2 linked regions of the Caenorhabditis elegans genome follow. The protein of the gene in region 1 interacts with the protein of each later gene in a pairwise test. Each region holds a gene or a part of one and is shown in the gene's direction. Other genes may lie near its edges.

The links. Proteins that work in one complex are often made in the same cells at the same time.
Region 2: the proteins of abl-1 (region 1) and rsy-1 interact in a two-hybrid assay, tested with the Caenorhabditis elegans proteins (2 studies listed by BioGRID).

What each region holds. Positions count from the first base shown.
Region 1 is NC_003284.9:10,620,710-10,626,443, reverse strand, and holds the start of abl-1 (Tyrosine-protein kinase abl-1), read left to right. Parts: upstream 1-2,254; 5' UTR 2,255-2,297; coding exon 2,298-2,299; intron 2,300-2,409; coding exon 2,410-2,465; intron 2,466-3,736; exon of another isoform or gene 3,737-3,861; intron 3,862-5,734. UniProt on the Caenorhabditis elegans protein: Functions downstream of migratory protein mig-13 and is involved in Q neuroblast migration during larval development.
Region 2 is NC_003279.8:11,215,440-11,224,215, reverse strand, and holds rsy-1 (Arginine/serine-rich protein PNISR), read left to right. Parts: upstream 1-2,220; 5' UTR 2,221-2,240; coding exon 2,241-2,286; intron 2,287-2,427; coding exon 2,428-3,455; intron 3,456-4,964; coding exon 4,965-5,145; intron 5,146-6,074; coding exon 6,075-6,323; intron 6,324-7,577; coding exon 7,578-7,843; 3' UTR 7,844-8,039; downstream 8,040-8,776. Other genes in the region: Y53H1A.2 (C2H2-type domain-containing protein), read right to left, coding at 243-314, 377-526, 1,243-1,575, 1,627-1,707, 1,809-1,817.

The sequences.
Region 1 (5,734 bases):
ATGAAAATGAACTATACAAAAATAGAAAAAATAACACACAGATGTGCGTCTCAAAAATTAATTTTAAATAAAAACTTTCAAAAAGTTTTCAAAAATTAAAATATCGGTAATTTCACTCTTTTTCAATTAAAAAAAACATTGTAACTGGAAAACAGAATTTAAATGAGAGGCGACGTTTTTGGGTTTTATAATAAAAAAAATTAAGGTATATGTGTATGCAATTTTAAAAAACCAATAAATTCACTAGATATGTACTACGTCGTTCTTTTCAATCCTGACTTTGTTAGGAATCTCCTTTCCAGAAGTTGTTTCGAATGAACGCAATGGCAAAAATGGAAGGAAAAAAGGAATAATTCGTCCTTTGCATCGACATCTTGTTGTGTTCTTTTTTGTCCCTCTTCATTCTATTGGCGTGTTCGGGATATTATCCTCTCCTCGCCAACCAGCAGCTACTACCAACTTTTTTGTCGATGTTCGTCTTCTCTTGTGTTTTTGTGTGTTCCCATTTAGTTTCAGTTTTTGTTCTGCGCATTTCACAAAACTTTACTATTTTCAAAGTTCTTCGACACGCAAAAAACTCTACAAAAGTTTACTTTCAACTTTTTTTCGTATTTGGATTTATTTTAGCTATTTTTTTTAACGACTGGTTTAAATAAAAATAGGATGGGAGAAATTTTAGTAGACTTAATATGTAAATGTGAAAGAATTTTAGTAGACTTAATATGTAAATGTGTAATTTCCAACAATTAAACGAGGAGAAAAGACGAAAAATAAAAAAAATTATCGAAAATAGAACACTTTGTCACCATCAAAATCACTAACACTAGCAAAATAGCACAGTTTCATAGTCATATTACATATGCATGTTATAACAACAAACCTATTTTCATCTTTTGAAAACCCTACACACAATTCCACTTTTTTATGGAGAAATACAACCACATATAATCTTTTGATTTCAAAAAGTTATTTGTAATTGCCAAGCATTCATTACTTGGAGATCACGTTTTCCAAAACATCTTCGTCAGCAATTATTAAAACTTGGGAGTTTTTTTAAAGAATTATTGTATGCATTAGAGTGCGTTCTTATTGAGTGTTTCAAGTATGGAATTTGTTCTCAATTAACAAATTATTCTTAAACACACAATTTAAAATTAGTGCTTCATGTACAATTATATAGTCCGTGAAACAATGCAAATCTCCAAAAATTTTTAAACTTATTTAAAACTTGATAGGTACTTTTCAGCATATTTTAGTCTAAGGAGCCCTTTTATTGTTTTCAAAATAGTAGGACAGCAATTTTCTAATGAGTTAGAATTCACTCAACCAACCCTCAGAGGCATACCGTACTGTTTCTTCAAAATTTTGATTCTTTTAGTTTTGATTTCCATTTAAAAAATGCGTCAATCTGAATACTACCTATTGTTCAACTTTTCTATTTCAAACTGCATTCCCATACTCTTTCGTCGCTCCAATTTTTATGGGACAAAATTGGCGGGGGTTTTGAGTACCTCCTGGCCTCTCGTCCCATTCTTTGTGATCACACTTTTTGTTTCATTTCACACTTCATCCCCACACTTTCAACCGATACGAATTCGTATCGCAGATTTGTATAAAACATAGCGAAAAAGGAACGGCGACAAGTTTTGATTGGTTTTACAATGCAAAACTTTTTTGTTTATTAATATGTATGGTCTTGTCAATAATTGTTAGATTTTAGATTTGTAATTGACAATTTGTTAATTGGTTTAAAACTATGGTTTTTGCGAATACACAAATATCCGAATAGCATAACTTTTTTTTAATTATTAAATCACCACAATTTTGTAAAACAACTAAAAACTAATTATATCCAGTTTAAACATTATCCATTCATTTCGTATGCATATAAGTTCAATCAGTTCAAAGTATTTGTAGTCTCTACTCCGCGTTTCCAATCTCCTCTAGCTTAGTACTATTTATCTGACAGGAACTGTTGTTATTGTTTGACTAGCGAATAGGCGTTAGTGTTGAACCAAGTGCGCAGTAATAAGCAGTGAACAACGAGTGAGAAGTATGCAAGCGCGCTCTGCTGGTCACTGGATGGGTTATGAGAAAAGAGAGGGCAGCCGGGTACTCGACACATACCTTCACACCAATTGCGCGTCCTTTCTTTTTTCCTCCATGTTCTTTTTTTTTTGTCTTCTTCGATTTTTTCTTTTTATTTCTTTTTTTTAATTCAAGCCAAACTTCATAATTTTCAGGCTTTTCTAACTTTGAAAACATCAAAACATTCTCCCATGTAGGACTTAACAAAAATGTGAGTTCAGTTCATTTCATAATTCTTCTCAAAAACTATAAGGCCATGGTATTTTGTTTATTTTAATTTTACGAACAACATATACTAATAAAGAAGAAAATGTTTTTCAGGGGTCATTCACATAGTACTGGGAAAGAAATCAATGACAATGAACTCTTCACATGTGGTAAGCATTTTGCGCTTGAAAATTGTGAAAATTACTTTTCAACTAAAAACAAATATAATTTCAACATTTGAGTTTGGCATTGGATTTCAAAAAAAAAATTGAATGGTATAATTTCATACCATTTGGAAAAATTCAGCCTTGAAAAATATTAACTTGACGAAACTAATGAATATTTGTTGATTCAAAAGTTTTCCTAAAAAAATGATTATTGTTTGAAACTCATTAAAAAAGTACTGATAAAGTTTACGATTGTTTCTGAAGTATCAGCTTTTGTTTTTCTATTTTTCAAAAAAAGGAAGCTGCTCTCAGTTTTGAAAGAAAATAAGGCGAAATTGTAAAATAAATTATACGTAAAGTATTATAAAACTAATATTTTGTAATTTCTCAGTTTCTCAAAAAAAAAAAGTTCATGTTAAAACATGAAAAACAGTATGTTAAGTTTTATGTATTGTTTTTAACGTTCCTTCTACTTTTCGATGAATTGTCACAATCTCATTCGAAATTGTCTGCCCACAATAAGGCCCTTCGAGTGTAGATGACAGATTCAGAACCGCTCTTAATGCTTTATGCGGTTAGGTTCTCTAATCCTCCAAGTGTTCGGTTCCCTTCGTATTCCCGTTCGCTGTAGATATATGCCGGAGAGGGTGTGGGGAGGGTGAGAGATCCTCTTCTAAAGTCACAAGTAAACGAGACGCGGAAGAAAACGAGAGTAGAGATAGTAATAGCTGGTATGGTGGATTGAAAGAGAGCATGAGTGGAAGACGGGACGCAGACAAACCAAGAGGTCACATCTCCCTTCCCTCGTCCGTCAACTCCCGGTCCCTAGTTTGAGGACAACGCATGCGTGATCCAAATATGGGAGACTATCCAATCAAGTGTATCTTCTCTACTCATCTAGAATAATTAGATCATAATTTTTTACAAACTACAATATTTATAAAATTATACACTTTTAAAAGGTTTAGGCATAATTTATTTGGGAAAGGAAGTTTGGAAGAATAGAAAAAAATGGAATAAATCCAGTTCCTCTCCCCTTTCCCGCTTTGCCGCCTCCCGGCAAAACGTCGCTTCTCCAACTTGTTATTCCAATTCAATAGGTTTCAATGCCATATTCGCAGTTATAAATGCTCGACCCCTATTGACTATTCGCATTTTATTCACTTCACTCCAGTTTTAACTAGATTTACCATTTCCCCCCATCTTTTTTCTCCCTGGGTCAGAGAAGCAGCTGGACTTGTGTTAGTAGTACGACGAATCGCCCTTCTTCTCGTTGACCAATTAGAAAATGTGCTCTGGCACATTTTCCTTTCTGTGTGGGACTGAGAACCACGGGGGACACCCAACCTCCTGTTCTTCATTCTTTCTATCCAATTTTTATGATGGATTTGGTGCGACGCGTATACAATGAATATAAACGTTCGCAAGTCCACACCCATTTTTACAATTCCCTAGACATTGACACGGCATGTGACAATATTGAATAGTTTTGCTAATTTTGTGTTACTCTCGAAGAAACGGCATTGTCTCTGCTTTTTTTGTTATCTGAAAAAATAAAATCAGTTAGGTGTTTCAGTAGAATTTTCAAAAATAATTTACATCAGACAAACCGAGCTGAACAACCAAAATATATCCTAAATCAGATTTGACGAAGTTCAGATCATTGATCTTTTTCATAACGTGATTAAACACAAAACTATAAAAGTTTTATGAAATAGAAAAGAGAATACTAATTTTAAAATCTTCCGGTTCCGGATTTGTGTATGTGTTTGCTTATCAAATCACAGTTCTTACATGTATTTTTTAAGTGAAAAATCTATTAGGTCTCCAAATAAGTTCCGGGTCAAAAATCATAACTTTGTTCTCTGTGTATCGATTTTTATGAAACTTTGGGAATTCATGTTATCAACAATGATCTTTCATTTGACATCAGTCACAAAATTTTTTGTCCACCCCAAGTGTCCTAACTCGGAGCCAATTTTTTCAGGCATTTTTCCTATCTCGCTTCTAAAAGAAGACCTTTGAATTGAGGTTTGTGTGCGGATTTCGCCTTGCTTAAAATACATTATTAGAAAACGACAAAATTTTAGAAAAAAATCCGTCCAAAAAATTTTTTTTTGGTTGGTCGTCAAAAAATGTTCAAAAAAAATTTTGTCGAAAGTTCTAGATTTTCCCTACAAAAATGATGTAAACAAGCGTGAACTATTTTTACACATACAAAACATATCAATTTATTTCGATACACCAAAATGTTAATAGAAAATATAATTTTTTCGGATAATTTTTGAGTTTTTTGAATATTTCTCGAGATTCAAATTTCAAACTAAAACGATTATTATATATTTAAAAAAAATTTTTTGGACGGATTTTTTTCTAAACTTTTGTCGTTTTCTAATAATGTATTTTAAGCAAAGCAAAATCCGCACACAAACCTCAATTCAAAGGTTAAAAGAAGCGAGATAGGAAAAATTCCTGGAAAAATTGGCTCCGAGTTAGGACACTTGAGGTGTACAAAAATTTTTGCGACTATTGTCAAATGAAAGAACATGGTTGATAACATAAATTCCCAAAGTTTCATAAAAATCGATACACAGCGAACAAAGTTATGATTTTTGACCCGGAACTTATTTGGAGACCTAATATAAACCTCGTTTCGAAGTTTTGAAAATTGTATACCGTATTTCTTCTATTAATATGACTGCAATACTATTGTTCGATGGTCTTCCCGCTTGCAATACTAATAGGGAGTGCAAGACTATTAGGGAGTGCAATATTAATTTTCAGAAAATTTTTCTGACTTTGAGCTTTCTGATTTTTTTTCTGAAAAAACTCGAACCTTGTGTGAAAGTGAAAATTTGATTGTAATTGCAACAAAAAGGTACAATAACTTCAATTTCATAAAAATTTTACCACAAATTGTTGCAAAGTAGGCAAAAAATGTTGTTAAAATCTCAAAATTAGTGAGGTGGGTCTGTACCAAAAAAAAAGTAGACGCAATACTATTAGGGAGTGCAACACTAATAGGGAGTGCAATACTAATTTTCGGAGGGTGTTCAAGGAGCAATACTAATAGGGAGTGCAAGTCTAATAGGGAGGCCATATTAATAGAAGAAATACGGTATATATCAAATATGTATTTTTGAAAAATCATCCGAAGAATCCTACTGGTTACTTACAATATATCCATATTTGATAACACATTAAAATCACATTTTAACTCTTCGAAATAATTAATCACAAATCAAATTACTGTTTCAAATAGTGAAAAACCT
Region 2 (8,776 bases), on another chromosome or scaffold:
ATTCGCATAAAAATGGGCAATTTTTGAGGAAAAAACTGAGAAAATCGTTGAAAAATCAATATAAATTGCAATTAAAATGAATTTTGTCAATCAAAAACTGAATAAAAATTTAAATATGCACCGAGAAAATCAATGAAATGAGCGTATGAATAAGGCCACTGGGAAATCGAGTTAGTGTCAGAAATAGTACACAGTAAAAAAATGTAATTTACAATATAACAATCAAAAAAAATTTTAAAAATTCATGAATCCGGGTCCAAAATCTCTGTTTTCACATTAATCTTCGGCGGAAACTCGTCACAATTCGGAGTTTTCTGCAACAAAAAAAAATTAATTTTTTGTCAAATTTTCAGTGAAAATTCGATTTTTTTGCTACCTTCCAGTGTCTCCGGAGACTATCTGGGCTCTGATAGCAATATCCACATTTTTGACATTTATAGGCGTCCGGATTGCGGTGTACAACGATATGATGCTTGAGACGTCGTTCCGATGTGTACTTTTTCGGGCATTCCGGGCAATTGTGCTTCTGAAAATTCGAAATTGTTGGGCGAAATCCATGAAATTGTAGTTTTTAGTCATTTTTATAAGAAAAATCGGGAGAAAATCGGTTTTTTCGGCCGAAAATAGTTTTGGGTGAGGCTCAGGGACTACAAACTACAATTTTCTTAGCCTCAACCAGTTTTGCGTTAGTTTTTGGTGTTTTAGGATTGAAAAAGTGAGTTATAAGCTTAATACATTGCAGTTTTTAGTCATTTTCATATAAAAAAATTGCAGAAAAATCAGTTTTTTGGTCGAAAATGTTTTGGGTGAGGCTAACAGACTACAAACTACAATTTTTCTAGCCTCAACCAATTTTTTTCGTAAAAATTGAAGGTTATTATCGTAAAAAGTTAATAAATATCATGAAATAGCCGTTTTTACTCATTTTTATACAAAAAATTGGGGAAAACCGTTTTTTTTTTGGTCGAAAATGTTTTGGGTGAGGCTAACAGACTACAAACTACAATTTTTTTAGCCTCAACGAATTTTTTAATACGATTTTCAACTGAAAATTAGGTTTTTTAATAGTATAAATTAATTTTTAAGCGAAAATTGAATAAAATCCTATTTAAAATGATTGCGGTTTGTAGTTTGTAGTCTGTGAGCCTCAACCAAACGAATTTTCGTCCTATTGGCTGAAATTTGATGATTTTTCATGTTTTCAGGGCAAAAATTGTTAGAATCGGGGTTTTTTATCAGTACCATTTCACTTTGGCCATCCTCATCATCTTCGTGATCCTCTATTTCTTCCGGATGCTCAGATTTTGGAGAAATTACTCGATTTTCCACGATTTCTTGTGAAAATTCTGGATTTCTAGGATGAAAATGTGATAAATTCGAATAATGAGCTTGTTGCACAGATTGCGGGGGCGAATATTGATTTTTCGGTGAACAATTTTGAGGCACATTTTGCGAATTATTGTCGTAGACCAGCTCATATTCGTCGGTTTTCTGCTCCGCAAACATATTTCTCATTGTAGTGAGCACTTTTGGTCCATCTTCGTCTGATGTGTAGTTTGAGGAACAGGAAATATCCTGAAAAATTGGAAAAAAAAAGTGATTTTGCAGAAATTTTCGGGGAAAAACCTCTATTCCACTTTGTAAATTGAAGTCATCGCCGAAAAGCATGTAGTTTGGACAGGAAAAATCCTGTTTTCTTTCTGTCATCTGAAAAAAAAGCAAATTTAAATTTAAATTATTCAAAAAACAACTATTATCGTTGAAAATTGCTGCTAAAAATTAAATTAAATTAAATTAAATTAACCTACCGTAGCCATTAAAGGCGCATGCTGTGTTCCCTCGAATGGGTTTCTACACGAAATTGGAAAACGTCGGATTTCGGCAGGAATTCTGGAATTTAAAATCACTTTTCTCCAAAAATTAAATATATCGATTCATTTTCTTCACATTACAAACAAAAAAACACGTTCAAGTATCTGAAAATCACACAGAAAGCCGCCGTCAATAAAATTCGGTGGCCGCGTGGCCGTGGACTAGGTTTCGTGTAAAGGAACGGCCATCGACATTTTTTCGATTTAATTCTATTTTAGAATATTTTCAGCGCATTTTTAAAGCTTTTAAATAGAAAATCTAGCTGAAAATTTCGAATTTTTGTTAAAAAATGCTAGTTTCCACCTTTTTCCTCCCAAAAAAAACCAATAAGATCGATATTTCCTGCAGAAAATCACAAAACGAGGGAAATGGAAGATTGGACCAACTATCATCAGGCACAGCCGGCGGAAAGTGGTATGGCGTTGTGATTTTATTGAAAAATTGAATTTAAAATCGAAAAATTTGGCAAAAAAACACGAAAAAATCGATTTTTTTCGAGATTTTCGCGAAATTTTTTTAAATTTATTTAAAAATTAATTTTCGTCTATTTTCCAGTCGACTGGGCCCAGCTGGCCCAACAATGGATGGCGATGCGCGACACAGACGATCGTCGAGCCGGAAATTCACACGATTTCGCTCAAAATCATCAGCTCCCGTGGCATCAGCCACGTCATCCGGGCCCTCCGGCTCATCAGGATTGGGGCGATTGGTCCGCGAATCGGGACGAGCAGTGGAGAGGGCCGCCTGGGCCTTCTGGGCCGTCCGGGCCCCCCGTATATCATAATCAAGGCCCGCCTCGTGGATATCCACCACCACCGCCACAGGGAGCAGACACGTGGCGTGGAGCTCCTCCACCAGCTCACCACGGACACTTTGGACCGCCTGGACATCATTTCCAAGGCCCACCACAACATTTTCCGCCAGGGCCACCAAGGCCGCACTTTCCAGGCCCCCCAGGCCCACATAGACCTCCAGAGCACTACCCAGGGCCTCCAAGACCTCAGGCTCCAGCGGCACCACCACCGAAAAGCCTATTCCCGTCGGCCCAAAAGCCTAAGCCACTTTTTGCGGCGGCTTCAAGTGCTCCAAGCTTCTTCGGAGCACCTCAACGTCCACCACCGCAGCTGCACTTTTTCCAGGAGAGCCCCTCGGTCCAGCACGATTTTCAGCAGCCCGATTTCCAGCCCGATTTCCAGCCCGAAAACTACCAAAATTCCCCGGAACCCCCGGCCCAAGCTGGCCCGAAAGGTGTGCCTCCACCGGCTCCACTAATGGCTTCAGGGCCCACAAACCCGTATGCAATGAACAAAGAGGCCCGGAAAAAACTGCCGGCCTGGATCCTGGAAGGCCTTGAAAAGGCCGAACGGGAGAAGCAAAAGCAGTGGGAAAAAGAGGAAAAGCTGAAGAAAGCGGAAGAAGAAAAAGCCCGGCGAAGAGCCGAAGCTGGAAAGAGCAAATTTGACTCTTCGTCGGATGAAGAGAGCCCGGAAAATGAGAAATTTCCTGTTGGTAATGGAAAATCTGAATATCAGGAAGATGATAATGATTCGGAAGACGATTTGGAGGAGAGACGAGAGCAATTTGTACGGGAAATTCTAAATTCCTGAAATTTCCGCAAAAAAAAACCTAAAAACTACAAAAAATTTGAGAAAAAACGAAGATATTCTAAATTTTTAGAGGAAATTTTTCAAAATTTGAGAAAAAAAACCAATTTTTTGAAAAAAAAAATCCAGCTTTGTAGTTTATAGTCTCTCAGCCTCAACCAATATTTTTGGTTGAGGCTCACACACTACAAACTACAAAAAATTTTGAGAAAAAACCAAAAATTTGTCGAAGATTTTCTGAATTTTTAGAGAAAATTGCTAAAAAAATCGAGAAAAAACCGACGAAATTTGATCAATTTTTGTTGGTTCAGGCTCATGCTCAGACACTACAAACTACAATTTTCGGGTAGCCTCACCAAAATTATATTTTGAACAAAAAAATCAATTTTACAATGAAATTTTTGTATTTCGAGGAAAAATCGTTTCTTTTTTTACTTTTATTTCAAAAAAATGTTGAAAATTTGAAAATTTTAGCCGGCTAGACTACAAACTACAGAAATTTTTTTTTTTAAATTGTATTTTCCCAAGATTTTCTGAATTTTCCAGTGTAACTCCTAAATCCTAAAAATAATTCCTATAAAACACCGAGTTTTTGATAAAATTTCAAAAAATCTATTGGTTGAGGCTATGACAATTTGTAGTTTGTAGCCTCTCAGCCTCAACCAATATTTTGGTTGAGACTCACACACTACAAACTACAATTTTCGGGTAGCCTCACCAAAATTAAATTTTGAAAAAAAAATAAATTTTTCAATACAACTTTTGAATTTCGGCAAAAAAATCGTTTTTTTTTTCATTTTTAATTCAAAAAAGTTTAAAATTTTAGACATTTTAGTAGACATTGGCGTTTTTGATGCCAGCTAGACTACAAACTACATGAATTTAAAAAAAAAAAACAATTTTCCCTAGGTTTTCTCAATTTTTCAGCGTAAACCATAAAAATTCCAATAAAAAACCCAGTTTTTGATAAAATTTACAAAAAAAACATTGTTGAGGCTATATGACAATTTGTAGTTTGTAGTCTCAACCAATTCAAAAATTGGTCGAGGCTCAGACTACAAACTACAATTTTTAAGACAGCCTCACAGAAATTTAAATTTTCAAAAATTCAATTTTTTCAAGATTTTTTAAAAAATTTTCTAAAAAGTTTTGAAATTCGGGTAAAAAAAATTTTTTTGTTTCAAAAATTTTATAATTTTGATGCCCGCTAGACTACAAACTACAAAAATTTCGAAAACAAACCTTAAAATCTTCCCAAGATTTTCAGAATTTTTCAGTCAAAACCTTTAAAAATGCAATAAAAACCGAATTTTTGATAAAATTTCAAAAAATCTATTGGTTGAGGCTCGCGTTTTTGGAGGCTGTTAGACTACAAACTACAGAACTTTTGAAAAAAAAAAATTGAATTAAAAATTAAAAAAGGTCCATTAAGTGGAGAAAAACCTCTTAAAAATTTCAAAAAAAAAATTTTCGAAATTTTTTTTCCAGATACGCTGTGTGAAAACTCTAATGATGAACGTGCTCCTCGAGTCTTCGAATGACGTCATCATGCGTATAATACAAGAAGAGCTCCGTGAGCACGAAAAACTTCAATTTGAACGGAAAAAATTGGCAACTGCGCCGAAAATCATCGGCAACAGCTCAGCGTTGGCGGCTCTCGCGGCTTTTGGTATGGAGAAGCTCGCGAAAATTCGAAATTCGGAAAAAACAATTTTTTTGACCAGAAAATTCGGTTTTAAAAGTTTTTTCCAAGTTTTTAATTTAAAAAAAACCGAAAACTTTAACATTTTTGAAATTTTCTTCCAAAAAGCTATGAAAATCGTATAATTTTTCATAAAAAATTCATAAATTGTTCCAATTTTTCGACGAAATTTTTTTAAACAAAAAAAATTCGATTTTATCGAGTTTTTTGAGCTAAAATTTCAAAAAGTTTTTTAAAAATTGATTTAAAAAATTCGAAAAACGAAAATTTTCAACATTGTCTTCAAAAGTTTCACATTTTTTAAAAACTTTTTTCTAAAATTTTCGAATTTTCCATATTTTTTTTAAATTTAAAACAGTTACAATTTTGAAACAAATCGAATTTTCTGGTTGAAAAATTTGAGATTTTCCGAAAAAAAAAGTAAAATTTTTGATTTTTAAATCGAATTTTTCAAAAAAAAATAGCGAAAATTTAGATTTCCAGAAAATTTTAATTTTATATAAAAATTGTGTTCAAAAAGTTCCTGAAAAGCTCTTCTTTTTCCTAAAAATTCAAATTTTTCAGAAAAAGTTTTCAAAAAAACATTTTTTTTTTTTGGAAAAAATCGGTTTTCAGAAGCTTTTTTAATTAAATATTCGTTATAAAAAACGATTTTCGAACAATGTACCAAAAAAGAATTTTTAGTTTAAAAATTTCAATTTTTTCGATTAAAAATTCCATAAAATGTGAATTTTCAATTTCTCGAAAATTGTAAAACTAAAATTCAAATAAAAAAAGCCTTTTTTTGCAAAAAAAAAGTTGAGTTTTCAGTTAAAAAAAAAAACGTTTTTTAGAGCTAAAATGTCATATTTTTTGAAATTTTATTTCAAAAAATTCAAATTTTTCAAATTTTCCAGGAGACGGTGAGGATAGTGACAACAGCAGTGACGATGGAGTTGGCGACGACATGGAGCCACGGCAGGAGAGCAGTGGCTCGGCGGAGCTAAATGGAGCATCAGGGGCAGCAGAAGCAGGAACACCAGAAGCTGGTGGTGGAGAGTTCAAGGCTCCCGTGGGTATCCCTCGAAAGTTTAGTGTTAAGACAGATGATGTCAAACCATCAGTTAATGATGATGGTGAAGGTGTTGATGATTTACACGTTCCAGGTAAGGTAAACTAATGAAAAATATAAAAATATATTCACTTTTTGTTGAAAAAAATACCATTTTTGCTAATTTTTTCCCCGATTTTAGCGTCAAAAATGTGTTTTTCTGTAGTTTGTAGTCTATTAAAGCGCGAATTTTCAGCCAAAAAACTTCAAAAACCTACTGGAAATCCACTTTTTTGAATTAAAAATTCAAAAATTTCAGGAAAATCTGCAAAAAAAAAATGTTTTTTCAATATTTGTGTGAGGCTATGTTATTTTGTAGTTTGTAGTCTCAGCCTCAACCAATTTTTGAAATAATTGAGGCGCGCTGGAGACTACAAACTACAAGTTTTCTTCACAATTTTCACTTTTTTCCGCCAAATTTGAACTGAAATTTTTTGGGATTTTGGGACATTTGGGATTTTGGATTTTTGGGACAGAATGGTTTTGTAGTTTGTAGTCTCGGAGCGCCAATTTTCAGCCAAAAAAAATAATATTTTATTCCAAAAAACCCACTGGAATTCCACTTTTTTTGGATTAAAAATTCAGAAATTTTCGGAAAATCTGAAAAATTTTGAAAATTCAGTTAAAACCGCTTCTAGAACTCGAAAAATCTATTTTTTAAATCCAAAAAAAAATCTGAACATTCCTGAACATTTGGTGAGGCTTTGCTCATTTTGTAGTTTGTAGTCTGTGAGCCTCAACCAATTTTTGAAATAGTTGAGGCCGGAGACTACAAACTACAAGTTTTCTTCACTTTAGCAGAGATTTTTCGGGAAAATCTCACTTTTTATCTAAAAAATTTCAAAAATTCTTTTCTTTTTTCAATAAAATCTCTGAAAATCCAAATAAAAATCCAAAAAATTTTTTTTTTCTAATTTTGTAGTTTGTAGTCTGTGAGCCTCAACCAATTTTTGAATTGGTTGAGGCTACAAACTACACATATTTCCCAGCCTCAACCTAGATTTCTTCATATTTTACTCATTTTTTAAAGAATACAAATGAAAAGTGTGAATTTTTGAAATTTTCACTCGCAAACGTGTAGTTTGTAGTCAAAATATTGGGATTTTACTATTTTGGGTTAGGCTAAGCTGATTTTGTAGTTTGTAGTCTTCGGCTAAATATTTAGAAATTTCCTTTCAAAAAGTCTGTAGTTTGTAGTTTGAACCTTGATTGAGGCTGATGTGATTTTGTAGTTTGTAGTCATTCTCTAGACTACATAGAACTACACAATCTACACACAAAATTCCGGAAATAATATTCAAATTTTCAGATTCAAAAAACGGCGATAATAAAAAATCGGAAAAATCGTCGTCGGAAAAGAAGAGAGAACGAGAGATGAGAGACGATGAGAAGGAGAGAAAATCGAGTAAAAAGAGCAAAAAACGATCGAAAAGTCGTGAAAAAGAGCAATCTTCATCACGACATAATCACCGATCGAGAAGCCGATCTTCGGAACGGGATCGCCGTCGAAAACGGTCGAGAAGTTCGGAACGTCGGAGGGATCGGGGGGACAGGGATCGGCATAGTCGACGTTGATTTTTATTGATTTTAACGATAAATTATTGATTTTTCCGATTTTTACCGCCGATTTTTTCCACCAATTTCTTGCTCCAAATTCTCATTGTTCAAAGCCGCCCGTTTTTCTGGAAAACTCCCAAAAAATTATTTTTTTGTATTACCTATGATGACATTTTCCCATTGATTTTTTTTTGCTTAATGTATTTTGAAGTTTTGTTTTTTCGTTTTTGGTTTCAGCATATTTCAGAATCGCACAATAAATTCTAATTTCGCGCCTGAATTTTTGGAAAAATAACTAAAATTTGAATTTCCCGCTAAAATATTAAAAATAATTTGAAGTTCGCGCCAAATTTTTTGTTTTGAAAATTCGAATTTCCCGCTGAAATATTTAAAATTTTTGGAAAAATTACTAAAATTTGAATTCGCGCCTAAATTTTTGAAAAAAATACACATAATTTAAATTTCGCACCAATTTTTTTTTTCGAAAATTCAAATTTTTCGCAAAAATCATGGAATTTAACATTTTAATTATTCCGCCAAAATGTTTAATTTCCCTCAAAATTTGAATTCCGCGCTGAAATTTTTGAAAAATTCTATTTAAAATTAGCGCCAAGATTTTGTAAAATTTAAATTTCTCGCTAATAAATTTAAAACACATTGAAAAATTGAAGTTTGAATTTTCCTCAACAGATTGACTAGAATTATCAGTTTTGAACGCCTCTCACGAGACAAAAATCAATGGCCGAGTTTTCCCGAATTTTCTAGGCCATGCAGCAAAGGTCGGTCATGAATTCCTTACACTCAGAATATTATAGAAAAAATACGATCGCACAAAAATAAACAACGACGCAACGACACTCCGCTGTTTTTAAGCCCCGCCCACGATTTCATTTGCACTGAAATGTGGCGGTCGCAGTGCAAATGAAATCGTGGGCGGGGCTTAAAAACAGC